Alligator mississippiensis: one gene and its partner. The protein of the gene in region 1 purifies or fractionates together with the protein of each later gene. This does not show direct contact. Links are inferred from orthologs where the notes say so. Each region holds a gene or a part of one and is shown on either strand. Other genes may lie near its edges.

The links. Proteins that work in one complex are often made in the same cells at the same time.
Region 2: the proteins of CHCHD4 (region 1) and TOR1AIP1 purify together in Homo sapiens (co-immunoprecipitation; 3 studies listed by BioGRID and IntAct, with this or other methods). This does not show direct contact. The link is inferred for Alligator mississippiensis from reciprocal best matches to the Homo sapiens genes CHCHD4 and TOR1AIP1.

Annotation. Positions count from the first base shown.
Region 1 is NC_081835.1:16,918,719-16,926,597, reverse strand, and holds the start of CHCHD4 (mitochondrial intermembrane space import and assembly protein 40), read right to left. Parts: upstream 3,010-7,879; 5' UTR 2,912-3,009; coding exon 2,890-2,911; intron 2,867-2,889; exon of another isoform or gene 2,566-2,866; coding exon of another isoform or gene 2,547-2,565; intron 1-2,546. Other genes in the region: TMEM43 (transmembrane protein 43), read left to right, coding at 3,341-3,352, 3,760-3,909, 5,330-5,464, 6,384-6,478.
Region 2 is NC_081828.1:51,637,079-51,644,810, reverse strand, and holds the start of TOR1AIP1 (torsin-1A-interacting protein 1), read right to left. Parts: upstream 3,059-7,732; coding exon 2,284-3,058; intron 382-2,283; coding exon 322-381; intron 1-321. UniProt on the Homo sapiens protein: Required for nuclear membrane integrity. Induces TOR1A and TOR1B ATPase activity and is required for their location on the nuclear membrane. Binds to A- and B-type lamins. Possible role in membrane attachment and assembly of the nuclear lamina.

The sequences.
Region 1 (7,879 bases):
GCTGGGGGGACTGGGGGGCAGCTCCCTGCTGCTGCATGCACCCCTGGGGGAAGCATGTGGGGCCTGTGCCCCACAGATTTGTGTACAAGGTGAGGGTGGGCTGCCCGCTGCAGGCTCAGGGCCAGGGGCTGCTCTGACCTCTTCCCAGCAGGAGGCTGAGCCAGAGCTGTACTCAGGGCAGGCTCAGTTGCGCAAGGTGGGCAGCAGTGGTGGCGGAAGGGGTGGCGACGGAGAACTTTGGGGTGGCCATAGCTCCGTGGCCCCAATGCCACCTCTTCCAGTGCTGCTGCCCGCCCTGTGCAGCTGAGCCCATCCCGCCCCCACTCCCACCCTCGCCTGCCCTGAGCGCAGCCCTGGCCCAGCACTCCTGCTGGGAAGTGGCCAGCGAAGCCCTTGGCCCCGACCTCGCAGCCTGCCCTCGCCCAGCCCACAAATGCAGGGGGCACATGCCCCCCATGCCACCCCAAACAGTGCACAGTTTTGGGGAGCCGCTCCCTCCCCCGGAAAAGCTGCCTGCAGCTCCACCCCATGCCCTGCCCTGCCCCAGCTGGGCAATGCCTGCCCCAGCCCCACTTCCTCCCTCATCGTGGGGGCGTCAATCTGCCTGCTCCTCCCCCTCCCCCCTCCAGCACAGGCTTAACAGCCAGGCTGCACATTGACTATTGGATCAGTATCGGCCAATATGGCTGGTTAATAATTGGCTATTGGTATGAGCCAAAAAAAAATCTTTATCAATGAACCGCTAGTTAAGATAGCTAAAAATTTTTTAAAATTTCAAGTGTATTTACTTCAGTCAACTTAAGGTGAATTTTACCTCCCTTCTCGCCAGTGTTGAGACAGAAAAGGATCTCGGAGTCATCACTGATGCCTCAATGAACATGGGCCGACAGTGTGGGGACACGGTCAGGAAGGCCAACCATACCCTGTCGTACATCCACAGATGCATCTCAAGCAGGTCCAAGGAGGTGATCCTCCCCCTCTATGCAGCACTGGTCAGGCCGCAGCTAGAGTTCTGCGTCCAGTTCTGGGCGCCGCACTTCAGGAGGGATGTGGAGAGGGTCCAGAGGAGGGCCACCCGCATGATCAGGGGGCAGCACGGCAGGCCCTATGAGGAGAGGCTGAGGGACCTGAACCTGTTCAGCCTCCAAAAGAGAAGGCTGAGGGGGGACTAGTCAAGGGGGACCAGCAGGCATTGGGAGAGTCCCTGTTCCCCCCAAGCAATCCCAGGAGTTACAAGAAACAACAGACACAAGCTAGCGGAGGGTAGTTTCAGGCTAGACATTAGGAGGTGCTATTTCACTGTCAGGGTGGCTAGGACCTGGAACCAACTTCCAAGAGAAGTGGTGCTGGCTCCTACCCTGGGGGTCTTTAAAAGGAGGCTAGACGAACACCTTGCTGGGGTCATTTGACCCCAGTACTCTTTCCTGCCACAGCAGGGGGTCGGACTAGATGATCTCCTCAGGTCCCTTCCGACCCTACCAACTATGAAACTATAAAGGTTGAAGTCATATTAAAAAGAGCATGTGCTCCTTAAAAACATCTATTGCTGATCACACCTACCAAGGGAACTCTACTCAAGGGAAAAGAACCAGATTTTAATGGCTGAACTTTCACATAAAAAAAAAAAAAGTTGTTGATTTTTTCTGAAGTCTCTTTCAAAAAGTTAGGTAACATAGCGTAGTTTAGAATGCAAAACCCCACCTTCCCAAAACACACCTAACATTTCTTACAAGTTAACTGATGTATCACATCACATTATTTATCTTGTCCAATAGTCCTCTGCAGGAGAAAGCTTATATAAGTCCCATAACATATCTAATTGGTTGCAGCCATGTTCCCACATCACAACAGACAAGTTACACAAACCAGAACAAAGAAGCTAAGAACACCACACAAGTTGGGAGGGAGCATAATTTTTGCAGTAAAACATCCATTTGATTAACCTCAGCATGCTTGCTACTGTCAAGGTCATCTAGAGGAATCAGTGCCCTTCAAGGGACAACTGTCTTTTTTTAGCAACTATCTTCCCTATATGGTAATTAATCTATGATACTTTTCAGCAGTCTTAACTGTTACTTGTCAAAACTGTAAAAATGATTTATTTTTATAGTTTAGCTACCTATGGAACTAGAGCTGAGGTTCAGCCTCTAGAGCTCACAACACCCTGCTGTGACCCGAGGACAAAGCTCACATCACTGAGGAGCAGGGATCTGAAGATGCAAACACTACAAATAAAGAATTAAGATGGTTCAAGAATTAAGATGGTTCAAGACTATGTATCAGCGGAATTTCTTCCCTTTACTATCACTAGTTAATTGAGCGATAGTTATTTTGCCAGCATGGCTGGTCTAAACTCATTGTGCGAGTCACCAATTAAATTGTACAATAATTACTAAGCACTTGTGGCGTGGGCAGTCTTACTTTCTGCGTGGGGCTGGTCTGCATTTATAGCGCAATTCACCTATTAATGGTGTGATGACTACTTGGCGCTTGGGGCTAGTCTTATTTTGTACATGTGTCCGGGCTACATTTATAGCGTGATTTACCTATTAATGGTGCGATCATTACTTGGTGCTCAGAGCCAGTCTTACTTTGCACGTGTGGCCGGTCTACATTTATAGCGCGGTTCCCAGCGCACAGCTCGGGCGTGCCCTCTAGCGCAGTCGCAGCGCCCTGCTAGGCGGGCAAGCTAGGCCTGAGCAGCCACCAGCGATAAAGGCACCGCGCCTCCTCGAGCTCTCTCCGTCCGAGCCGGCGGCACGGCTCACAGCGCCCTTGCGCGCACAGCCGGGCCAGGACACACGTTACATGTAACGCTCCACGAAGGACCGCGAGAGCGCGGACGGGAACGAGGCTGCCCCCCGGCGCCCTCCCCCCACCGGGACGCACCTTCCTGCCGGCAGTAGGACATGGTGAGGGACTCGCGCGCCCGGCGCTGACTGACCCCACCGGTGCCCCGTCCGCCCGGTCTCCACGCTGCGAGAGGAAGGCCCCTAGGCTGTCTCCGCACTGCCTGCTGGCAAGCAGCGAAAGGGGGAGCACGAGGTGCTGCGGGGACACCCTGGGGAGCACCCAGCACCCTGCTTCTGCCTGCTGAGGGCCGCTTCGGAGGAGTTCAGCCGGCAGCTAAGCGCAGGCACCTTCGTGGCCACCCTCGGCTGCAAATGACCCCTCCCGGCATGCTTTGCATAGGCCGCGCTTCTCCTTCCCCGCCCGCGCCAGGATTCGCTTTCCCGGCACGCCTCGCGGCGGCCCGCCTGACTCCCGGCGTGCCTCGCGGCTGCGAAACTACAACTCCCGGCATGCCCCGCGCCATCGTGCAGTGCCCGCACCCGTGAGGATGTCGCGGAACGTAAGTGCTGCCCCGCGCCGAGGGCCCCGCGTGTCCGCCTGTCCTGGGGGCGATGCTGGGAGCAGAAAGCAGAGCGGCAGGTCAGGGTTGGGAGCAGCTAGGCGTAGGAGGGGCAGCAGATCAGGCTGGGGGCACAGGGCAGGGAGCAGAAAGCAGAGCAGCAGGGTCATTAAAAAATTAATGAAAACAAGGTAAGGCAGCAGTTAACAGAGAGAATCTAAACCAGTGGGTGCATTTTAAACTAAAGGTCTGATCCGTCCCCAAGTGGTTTTGTGGTGGTAGGAATATAATATATCACGTTATACTGATAATCATTAGAAATTTCCTACGTGTTTCTTGATAGATCCTTCCATGCATACGTGCCAGTTTGCTGTCTCTAACATTTCATTTTTGTTTTCCATTAACAGGTCTCTGACGCAAGCAGCAGAAAAGAACATGTTAAAATTACCAGTGAGCCCAAACCAGGGTTCCTGGAGCGGCTCAGTGAGACATCTGGGGGGATGCTGATTGGGTTTGTGTCGTTTTCCCTTTCTTTCTACGTGCTTTTTACCAATGAGGTATGTGAATTGCATGTCAAGCCAATGTTTTCCTGTATGTCTCGAGTCTATGGCACTTCCAGTCAAATTCTTTCTTACCTGAGTGTTTGTAATGTCAAACTGCAAAGCATTTGGGCTGTCCTCTAAGCTTTGTTATTAATTCATGTGTGAGAAAGGTGGAACATATGGGAAGAGCCTGAATCCTATCACTGGCTGAGTTGGGGACATAATAGAGGAGTAGGATATTGGATAGGAGAGCTGTTTATGAGAGTTTTTGAGAACTGAATATGAAGGGACGTGACGGGAACATCCAGAGTAAGCAGTGGAGTACAGGGAAGAATGAATAAATATTAGGTGGCAAGTGGAACTGAAGAGCATTACATGGATTTGCACATGCCTTCTGTGTGCAAGTGCCTCTCGTGTAAGTCGCTTCCCCCTTTTGTACAACAAAGGGAGTTAATGATTCTGTTGTACTATTGCATAGGGGAGGCTATAGATTTCATACTCTAGTTGACTTGCTTTGCTTGTGTCAAAACAAATAGTAGCCACAAGTAAGTAAGCAACCATATTCCTAAAACCTTATTTTTACATTCCCATCTTTCCCATGCTTGCTCAGAAAACTGTTAGAACTTATCTGAACTATAGTGTAAGTGTGTAAAGCTAGTTTAATCTCCACAAAACTGAGTAATTAGCTATACTACAGGTTATTTAATACTCTAGTTTCAAACTGTTTGTTTTAATTTGAGGCTAATTTTAGTTCTGATTCTGCAAATACTCAGGCCCTCAGCTCCACTACCTGTAATACATCTCCCAGAATTAAATGAGCTACTTGTGCTAGCAAACCTTAAGTATGTGCATAAGAGTTTGCAGGATTAAGGCTTTCCTTTATCCTGAAAGTATTTTTAATCTGATCTGACTGGAAATCTTGGAGTGGAGACAGAATTTGGTGAAATTTCAGAGCTTCACCCAGAAAACAAAAAGCTTCTAGCATGCTACCTACATAAATGAAGAAAAAGAATTTTTGCTATCTCAAACAGAAGTGTGTAGCATAAAGAGCAATAACCTGAAGTTAAGGAAGGGAATATTATCAACCAGTCAGAATAATTGTATGGTAAAATAACGCCATAGTAGCATCCATACTATCATTAGTGACTAAGGTCAAAAGGAAGAAAATAATTTTAGGGTATCATGGTAGGAATATTGTGCTGGTGAGTATGTACATTAACTTTAGTGGTTTAGTTGCATGAAGAAGTATTGTTCTTTCAAGTAAAAATCGGGCATTAAGATTGAAACAACAAATAAGTACAGATGTTTCATGCCATGTGCCTGATCATGCTAGCATTTTGTGGAATTTGTGACACAGTCTTCTGGTTGGTTCATTCGTTAATTCAAGATTCTTCCTCGTTTTTTTTTCATTGTATTCTCTTTTAATTGACTGCAGGGACGAGCTTTGAAGACAGCCACCTCTCTTGATGAGGGCTTGTCTCTTGTAATTCCTCTTGACAACATACGCACCGTGTCTCAACAAAATGAGGGGAAACTAGTGCATTTGTCTGGTGCCCTTGCAACATCAAAGGCAAGTAAAATAATAGTGGCCAAAAATTAGTGCATAAGTTGAGGGAATGGAAAGCTCTTCTGCCAGTTAAAACCAGGCATACTTGATATGCAGAAATACTTTGGAATCTAAACATGCCCTACCTGAGTATGTTGATGTTTTCAATTCTTCCTCACATCTGTACTGTAGAGATTTTGGGACTTGTCATTGCATTCAAAAAGATGCAAAGACTTGAGGATCTGATGTGGAAGCTGCACATCTTCTTGTTAGATCAGATATAATTATGTTGTGGTTAGTTCTTTTTCCAAGGCATGTCATGATGAAATAATGGCCAGCAGAGAAGACAAAGGGTTCATTTTAAATCTGTTCAAGCATGGTTGAATGCTTTGAGTAAGGGACAGTGAGCCAGGACACCTGGTTATGTTGCCTGCCTTTCCACAGGCTTGTCTCACTTTCTTCAGGCCAAATTTATCACTGCTCTAAATAGATAGCATGCACTCCCTCCTGTGCCAAGACTTTTTATACTGCATCCATTGCTGGTATATCAGTCACTTCATGGAATTTATCATTTGTACCAGAGTGAAATTTGATTATCCACCCAATGTGCACATTTCCTTTTATTCACGTGGCTTTGGAAAGTATAATTAACATAAATAGAGTTCTTAAAAATCCTCTGAAAAAAGATACACAGCAGTAGTGCAGAATTATACTGTTTCTAATGCATTGTTTCATTACCCCACTTTTTAAAATTTACTTTGGGTCTTGAGAGTTTTGTTCTTTTTTTCTTTTTTAACATTTTGAAGTGAAAACATTTCCATGAAATCCCTTTTGTGGCATAACAAAGTATGATTTCCCCAACATAAACTTGAACAGATCAACTTTGCTAGCAAAAATATGCAGGTATTTTTATGCTGAATTGTGTGTGTTTGTATTTAAACAGCCTTTGTTCGATCCCAGCTATGGGCTTTCCATTCAGACTGTCAAACTCAAACGTAATGTAGAAATGTACCAGTGGGTAGAATATGAAGACTCCAAGTAAGTTGCTGCTGCTTTAAGGCTCTGTTCTGAGTTTAGTTTTTTGACTTTACCAACATACTGTTTAAATTTAAGGAAGATAGACTGGGTGATGGATAAACTTTTTCATGTAATTTATTTGTTATGTGACAGCCTGTGATTTCACTTTGGGATTTCGTCTTGTTTGTTATGTGACCCTTGGGATTTCACAAGCTTTTGTTTAGTTTTCTGTGCAGGTTTCTTCTTGGTTTTTTTACTATGACCCCCAGATTTGTGCAGATGAACCCCCTTGCAGGGTCAGAACACAATGAACAAATCCTTCTAACATCACCCACCCATCCCCTGACCTCCAAGAGGATGTAAAAACTTACACCCACTGCCTTACCTCATTTAGCTCTATCTCAGCCTGCTTAAAAGCCACAGCTGCAGCTCAGCCTTTACCTTCTTGTCTCCAACACTGTTCTGTTCCAAGCAATGTCAAGAGAATCCAGAGAGCCTTACATTTTCATAAAAGTCCACAAATCTGTTCAATTGACGCCATCATACTCTGTGAGCTGTGCTCCATCTCAGTATTTTACTGTCTTTTTTTTAATAAATAAAATATTTTAAATTAAAACAAAAACAAATCCATGAGCCAATCACTTTCTTAGTTGACCAAATAAGCTGTACAGTATAAAATGGGAAATCTATAATAAGTACCAGTATTAAATCAGAACTGTCCAGCTAATACCTGTTACCTAATATAAATGGAAATGTTTTGAAGTAGTGTTTACACTGTTGCAGTTAATGACGTACATCTTGGAACAGAGGTGTGGACTCTACTCTCAGATCTGCCAACAGCCAGTAAGTTGGTATGTGACTTTGGACAAATCCTTAATTTTCTCTATTTCTGCTTTCATGTGTATAAAACTCCTGTACAATGGGAAGAAAAAAAGTACCTAATTTGTGGATAATTCATTAACTTTTTGTTTTGTTATTTCCCTGCTCTCCCTCCCCCCACAAATAGTATTAAAATAATTTCTAGCAATTTCAGTTGCCTGGAAGTTCTGGGGTGCCCCAGCAACATTGAGCCAATTGAAGTTTACCTGTAATCTTCCAAATGCCTGCCTTCCTTCCAGGGGACCAGGAGTCTTAATCGACTCTTTACCTGTTTGATTGACAGGTGTAATATAACAGCAAAATATTATTTGCCTTTACTGTTTGTTTTAAGTTAGTATAGTTACTAAACATGGATCCACAGGCATTCACATAATTTTTAGAAGGTTACAGGTAAACTTCAATGTTGCTGCCTCCCCTCCAACTTTCAGACAGCTGGAATTGATAAAAATCAAAATTTTTCTATTTTTTTTTTTGGAGGAGGATGAAGAGAAGAAAAATATACATAATTGCTCTTAACACATGTAAGCAGAAGGACAGAGAAAA
Region 2 (7,732 bases), on another chromosome or scaffold:
TTTGCACACTTAACAGTGCTAACACTGCATGATGACACCCCCAACAGCATCCTTGCTGGGAGAATCAATCAATCTTCAAAAATTCTTACAAGATACCAGAGCACTGTTCCCCTTTTGAAAGGTAAACATATGAGGTGCAAGATTAAGTGCCCAACATTATACAACAAATCAATGGTAAAACTGGAAAGGGAACCAAGGCCATCCCCCAGTTCCTACTCCCTGCTTTCACCACTGATCTATACTCCCTAGAAATCTGTTTCAATAGTATTAGACTGCAAGGAGTGAAAAGCTCCTCCACTGGGTGTAGAAATCACTACTTACCTTCCCTTTGAAAACTTCTTATGCTGGGTCGAGTCAATTTGACAAAGGGATATTCACTCCCTAAAACAAAGAATGTGTTAAATGCATAACAAGCTCAAGCACCATGCCATCATTTCTTTCTCCCAACCACTTCAGCCCTCCATTCCATTCCATTCCATTCCATTCCATTCCATTCCATTCCATTCCATTCCATTCCATTCCATTCCTTCAAGAATACTATTAAACTACTCCCTCCCCCACTGCAGGCACACCAGACCCTCAAGCAGTTTGTTCATATGCTTGAGATTTGTGGGACGGGGAGGACAAAGTGAATGGTATATCTAGGGCAAAGGAGCAAGGTACCAGCAGAAGCCAAGAGGAAGGGGAGTGGGAATAGAATAGGCTGTGTATAAAAAAAGGCAAACAAGTATGGTGGACAGGAGCACAGGCATCTATAACTACTATGACACAATCGAATCTAGACCCTGAAAATGATCCCAGGATCCCCAGGACCCAAAGTTTCCCAGCTTTCTGGGAAGTAAGTTTGAATGCCATTGGCAAAGCATCCCTCATCCCTCTGTAATGGATATTCCACGAAGAGGATGCCCATTAATTCAAGTGCTAGAGGTCTGTATTTTGGATGTAGAAGTCAAAATAAGCCTTTGCCTAAAGTAAAAAAAAGCAAACAGGTAGGATTCAATCCTGAATGAGCAATACGATCCAAGAAAAACTCCAAATCCTATCCTTTCGTTCACCATGTGAGAGTGATTTCTGTGAATGCGCCATGTTTAATCATACACCAAATTTGCCCCCCAACTCAACCCTAAAGCATCAGTGATCATAATCTGTGGATTGTCAATTTCCCTTTACATCATTAGTGGATTAAGAAATTAATTTCCTCACACCCAAACCCCTTGCAAAACCCCCAGTCTTGTAAAAGAGGGCAAGAATAATAATAATAAAAAGACAAACCCCAGGGTAACTCCACTCTACTAAGCACAGATGAAACTATCCTAACCATCACGGAATAACTAAACTTCAGGGAACTGTGAAACCAGAGGTCTTGCTACATAGAAGCTTGGAGGAAGGCAATTTCTTTGCAGAAGGTAGTAAGTAGCAGAACGCTCTTGGCTAGAGGTGCATGATACGTCAGTCCAATATCGGATCAGCACCGATATAAAGAAAATCGACTGTATCAGAAACCGGCCTGATGTGCCTGATACTGTGGCAGATAAATGTAGGCAAGGAGAAGAGCTGTGTGCAGCTGGTAAGTCTGTTGTGGTAGAAGGGGGAGTAGGGAGGGAAGGGGCGGGGGACAGATCAGTTGTGGCACACCAGCTCGGTGGCTGACAAGAAAAGAGAGCAAGTGGATGATTCCCTTCATACCTGCCCACTGCCGACCACCCACCCACAATGGCTGGGAAACCATTTGCAGCTCAGCCAAGCCCCAATTTGCACCTCTAGTGATGCAGTACCCGCTCTACCACCTTGCTGGGTGGACTAGCACCTAACACAGTTGGGAACACCCCCGGGGGGGGGGGGGGAAGCTACCCTAGTTCAGGAGACTCCAGTCCATGAAACCTCCCTAGAGATTTTTAGCAGCGACCCCACAGGAAGCTCCTTGTGGCATCGGGCACCAGGCGGGGGGCCTCTCTCGCAGCCTTCCCTACCACCCCGCCGGCGGGCCACGAGCTGCCGACCCGCCCTCCGCGAAGAGCCGCCTCCTGGGGGCAGAGCCGCAGCCGTGGGGGCGGCAGCGGGGCAGGTGCTGCCATCACAATGGCTCCCGCGGCTCGGGGCGGGCGGCGCCTCGGGCATTTCCCTGCTAGCGGAGGGGCTGGTGCCGCCGCACCGGAAGGGAAGGGAAGGGGCCTCCCTGCGCAAGCGGGAAGGGCAGCCACAGCCACCTGCCCTGGGCACGGGGCTGAGCGTAGCCGCAGCGAGGGGCCGGACCAGCCCCCGCCCCAGGGCCCTCCAGCTCACCTGCCGGCGCGTCAGGCATCCCGCGCCGGGGCGCGGTGTTCGACGGCCTCGCCCTGCCCGAGGCCCCGTCTCCCGCCCAACGTCCCGCCGGCGTCTCCCCCGCCGGGGGCCGCTGCCGCGAGCGCAACTCGTAGCCCACACCAGCCGCCATCGCCGCCGCCTCCGTTTCCGTTTCCAAGGAGCCGTAGTCCCGCCCTGTTCGTCCCGCCGAGGGCGGGGCCAGAACGCGCACTTCCGCTCCGCTGTGCTTGGGGCCGGAAGTGCTAGCATCCCCCGGCTCGGCCGCGCCTGGCTCGGGGCCGCCATCTTGTGGGGCCCTCGGCTCGGCGGCGCAGCACGGCCTCAGCGGGGCCCGCGGCGTAGCGTGGGCGAGTGACATGGCTTCGGGCCTGATCCGGTCCGGGTTCGTCTCCCTCTCCCCTCCCTGCGGCCGCCGGGGTGCGCGCAGTCCGGGCCGACGCCGCGTCTGCAGCCGCTGCTTACCGGCGCCGCTTGTGACGGGCAGCGGCTGCGGCGCCGCCCCCGGCTCGGAGCAGCGAGGAGCAGAGCTGGGAGAGCCCGGCCCGGGCGAGGCCGCCCTCCAGCGGGCGCAGTGAAAACAGCCTCCCGGGCGCGACGTGGAGCAGCCCAGAGCGGACCCTTGGCATGAGGCAGGTCCTACCGGACCAGTTGGGCGGCGGGGGCCGGACGGGCTTTCGCCTCTGAGGCGGCAGGACGAGCTTGTGCCGCCTGTGCCCCCGCCATGTTGCCCCGTGGTTTCCGAGAGGCTAAGCATGATCTTATTCCAGCCAGCTCAAGTTCCTGAAAAAAACAGCAACGTGCCTAAGTTTTAAGCCTAAATTGGACAAAGTCACAAAAAGAAGCAAGCGCTCTCTGACGGTAACAGTTTTTCATGGGCTCAAGAAGGTCGGAAAAGGATTTCCTTTACAGCCTCCTCCTACCATTCAGAGATGTTTTACAGACAGTACTTGGATCTGGCCCTAACTCTTCCCTCACCCTGCTCTGCTGAAGACAAGTAGCACAATATTGCTCTTGTGACCTTTGGTAGCAGATCGAAGATAAAGGAGCAGCGTGCGTTAGGTCTGCGCGAAACGGAAGCATTCTGTTTCGACCAACGGTTCGACGGAACAGCGTTTTGTTTCGAGTCGAAACGGCTGTTCCGTATCGTTCTGTGGAAACATTTCTACATTTCGAACCTGTTTTGACATTTCCCCCGTAGGATATAATGGGGAAGGTCAAAACAGGCTATAACTTTGTCATTTCTGGCCTGATTTAGATGAAACTTGCAGGAATGATAGCCCCTTACGAGGGCATGAAGCCTGCCAAGCTTCAAGGAGATAGATGTAGGGGGGTTCAAAGAAACTGCACCCCAAAGTCTTGAGAGCAAAAGTCCTATCACTTGTATGTGTGAAGCCACAGCGGGGTCAAAACTGCAGGCTTGCTAGCCCCTGCTGAAGTAATGAAGCCTACCAGGTCTCAATGAGAGGTGCAGCGGCACTCTGGGTTCTGGGGCCCTACACCTCTGGCTGGTGACAGGCAAAACTCATGACATGGGTGGGTGACTCTGTGTGTTCAGGTGCGCCCTTCCTGGCACTGGGGCCTCTGCACGACACAGCAGTGTGCCCCAGTGAGTCCTCCTCCCCTACAGCCTCAGTCCAGTCTACCACAGTAAATGATGGCAGGTGAAAACGTAGCTGGCTCAACAGCAATAGCACCAGCAGCATCTAAAGTAGCCAAACAACTGTCACAGAGCCTTTCTTGTAAAGGAATTGACAGCAAGAAGTAAAGATGTTGTGTTGGATATATGTTACTCGTGGTGTGTGTGATGGCTTATCCTGTGTTTTTATGTTTGTATGTTCTTTATGAAAAAAAAAGGAATAGAGAAATATCTCTTAGGAAGCTTTCAGGTTGAAAAACCCTTTGTCAGGCTGAGGAAGTACCTGCGGTTGGTGTGTCTCTTGGTCCTGGATGGAAGGAATAGTAAAGAAGCCAGAGGCTGGCCTGGCACGCAATGCAGGCAAGAAAGGCAGTCAGTGAAAATGGAAATGGAGGCGTGAGGGTGAGGGAAAGGGTGAGGTGGAAAGGGGGATGTAAAAGTGCAGAGGTACCTAGGGTGTCAGATGTCCAGCAGGTTGCAGTGTGCCAGAATTCCAAGCACAAACTCAGCTGATTCCCCCTCCTTCCCCAGAATTTCCCTTGCTAGGGCACTGAGATCCAGATCCAGCGCCAGCTCTTCTTCTGGCACTGGAAGGCTCAGCATGGGAAGTGACATAGGGGTGGAGTAGACTGCTGCGATGGTGCTGGTGCTGCTGGTTGTGGTCATGGTGGGGTGCGGTTATGGCTGCTGAGCGTGGAGGGGATGCAGTCTTGGGCGGGGCAGTGGCAGTGGCACCACTCCCCTCTCCTTGCTGCTTTTAGCGGCCTCATCCCTTTCAGCTGGAGGAAAGAGGCTGCGTCTCAGTTTGGTGAGGGGTAGGGGGGACTTACAGCTCTCCCTCTTCCACCCCTCCCTGAAGGCTGGCCAGTGTTGCCACTTGCCTTTCTACCACTCTTCATGAGGTGTTTCAGGACTTCCTTTTCAAGAAATATATAAATGTATTTGTGTTCCTATATAAACTCAAATCTGTACTACTGGTGCAGGCAAGAGATTTATGAACATGGTAGAAATATATATGTCTGTGGATATAAATTCAATAGCGTTGGTATGGTGCAAAGAATGTCCGTATAAAAACAAATATATATAGTAAATTCCTATATAGAATAGGTTCTATAGTAACCCTATCCAATATAAGTATAAAATTCAAAAGAATAAATCAATGAATACAATAATAAAAGCACCTACAAGAAAAAGGTATTCTGAAATCCCTCTCGCTACAGTAACAAGCAGGGAACCCTTTAGAAAATCAGTGCTGCTAGCCCTAGTGGTCTGACAGTGAGCTGCTAGAATAGACAGCTCAATAAGTCACCCAAGGCAGAAAGCAGGAGCAGGTCCAAAAAATGCTGCCTTTTATGCAGTTTTTCTGTCCCTCCCCCAGAGCAATGGGGTTGGAAAGGACCTCAGAGAAGGGTGACAGGCACTGGCCAGTTACACATGTCAATAATGACAGCACTCCTTCCCACTCACCTCTCCCCCTCCATCCCCTTACTTTACTTTCTCTTTCCCCGCAGGGAAGCAAGCCAAGCCATTGAAGGTAAGCCCATAGCCCAGCTTCCTGGTCCAAACTCGAAACGTTTTGAATTTTTCCAAACGTTTTGACCTGCCCTGTTTTGTTTCGACCCTGTTTCAGCCCTGCCTGTTCTGTTTTGACTTTGCTGTTTCGAGGTCGAAATGGCTTGAAACAGCGTTGAAACAAAACGGGCAGCAAAATTTCACACAGCCCTAGTGTGCACCTTCCAGCCAGGCCAGGAGTGAGCGCAGAGAGGAATAAGTCCCTGCAGTGAAGGACTTGCTAGTATAAAATCCCTTGGCTTGCATTATGCGCAGGGGTTAGTCTCACTCATCATAATGATTCCTTCTGGCTTTATCATCATCATGCATCCTGCAGCATTTATATTCTGTTAGTGAACATGGATTAAGGGAATGTTCACACAGTAGGAACTAGATGACATGTTTCAGTAACTTTGAAGAAGAAACTTATAAGAACTTAAACATTTCCTTAAATATGGCTCACCCTGTGCAGTATACTTCCAGTTTTCTAGACAGTATCAGATCACATCTCTGATCCTTTTGCTAAGAGGAGGTTGGGAATTTTAGGCCAGCCTTTTAGTTCCTGTGTCTTGTGAGTAGCTTGTTCTTATGGCTAATTCTGTCAACATCACTATTATAGGGACAGGTAGTATGTTGAATATTGCTATTTTCATTTATAGAAGCTAATTTTCAAACCAGTTCCTAAACTTTTTTTTTTAATAAGCAAAGCTGATTTAATGAAGTGATCAAAAAGGCCAACAGGAAAAGGGCTAGAACCTGTATTTTCTAAATGGACACTGAGTTGAGAAAAATATCTTTCTAACATGCTTCCAACATAACAAATAACAGCAGATGATTATTTGTATTATGGTAGCAACAAAACACTCTAGCTAAGATCAGGATCCCACTGTGCAGAGAGATCAGTGATTTCCCACCTCTTTCAATCTGCACCAGTTCAATGAGAGAAACGCTTCTTTTCCCTTTCCAGTCCCCCAATGGCAGAGAGAATGTTAACTGAAACTTTTATGTGGTACAGTATACCTATGAGAAATATGGGACCCTGCACAATGGTACACACTGCTGGAGGATGACAGAACAGTCTGATGCATTGCATTTAACATGCAGTCTACATTTGCCCAGGGTGAAGTACAAACAGAAATGTGTTTGGTTTTCATTAGAGTCTATACAGTATAGTGGTGGTGTCTCTTGTAGTCTTGCTCCCCACTTTTGCTTCTGGCTGATGTCCTCTGTTGGTTCTCTTTCTACCAATGATAGCCAGCCGTTGACCATCTGATGGTGGTGACCACAAAGTGCCTCATCATCTTGAAGTAGTGCTAGGTATTCTGCAGGCACTCAGGATGCTATCATTGCTTGGATCCCATGCACCAAACACATTGATGCTCAACTCCTGCACCATCACATTGTATCCCTTTCTTCCCAGTGTCTCAGGCTGTACTTCATCAGCTTTCACTCCCAGGTTTTAGCAAAAGCCTGCCACTGGTTTTTAAAGGGGCTGGTCACATCGACAATCAGGATTTTCTTACTATCTTCGTTAGTGATGACAAGACAATGTCCAGTCTCGGTGGGCTGCTGCAGGCTGGGACCATGTGGTTTTTGTCCCTACTGATACCAAGATGACTGGGACCAGCCAGTCCTGTATGGTATTGTTGCAAAGTTGCCATATTCTTGCGTGCGATTTGCAGCCACATGGGACATGGAGCAGAGGCTTGTTCTCAAAGTGGCAGCTCCAGCACCTCGTCCCAGTTGCCATGGAAGGTGCTGTTATGGAAATAGTTGAAGTAAGCTGAATAGGTGAAGCACCTGTCTGTAAAGTGAACCAAGTTTCCCTGAGGCAGAAAGTGGTTGCTGGTATCCCATTTGAAGGTAACCTTGAAGACTTTGCTATGGTTTAGTTTCCCCTTCAAATTGTTGATGTACTTCACCCCATGGCCTGTTCCAGGAACCCCTTTAGGCTGATCCTCACCATGAAGGCACCGACCGTGATCTGGTTGGAGGTTGGGGCTTGGAGTGCCAAAACCTCCAGCTCCCACTGATTTTTGAGCCATGACCAGCAGCAGCAGATACAGTTCCCAAGGCATGATATGCCATTACAGGGGTGGGCCACAGTGAGGTAAGGTCCCCACCATCTCACCTGAAACCTCCTTCCAACCAAGTGCTCAGGAACATGACCAGGTCTTCAGTGGATGGTGGCCTAGCAATCTGCCTTTTGGCAGTCTCTTAAGACTTTAACAGCAACACTGC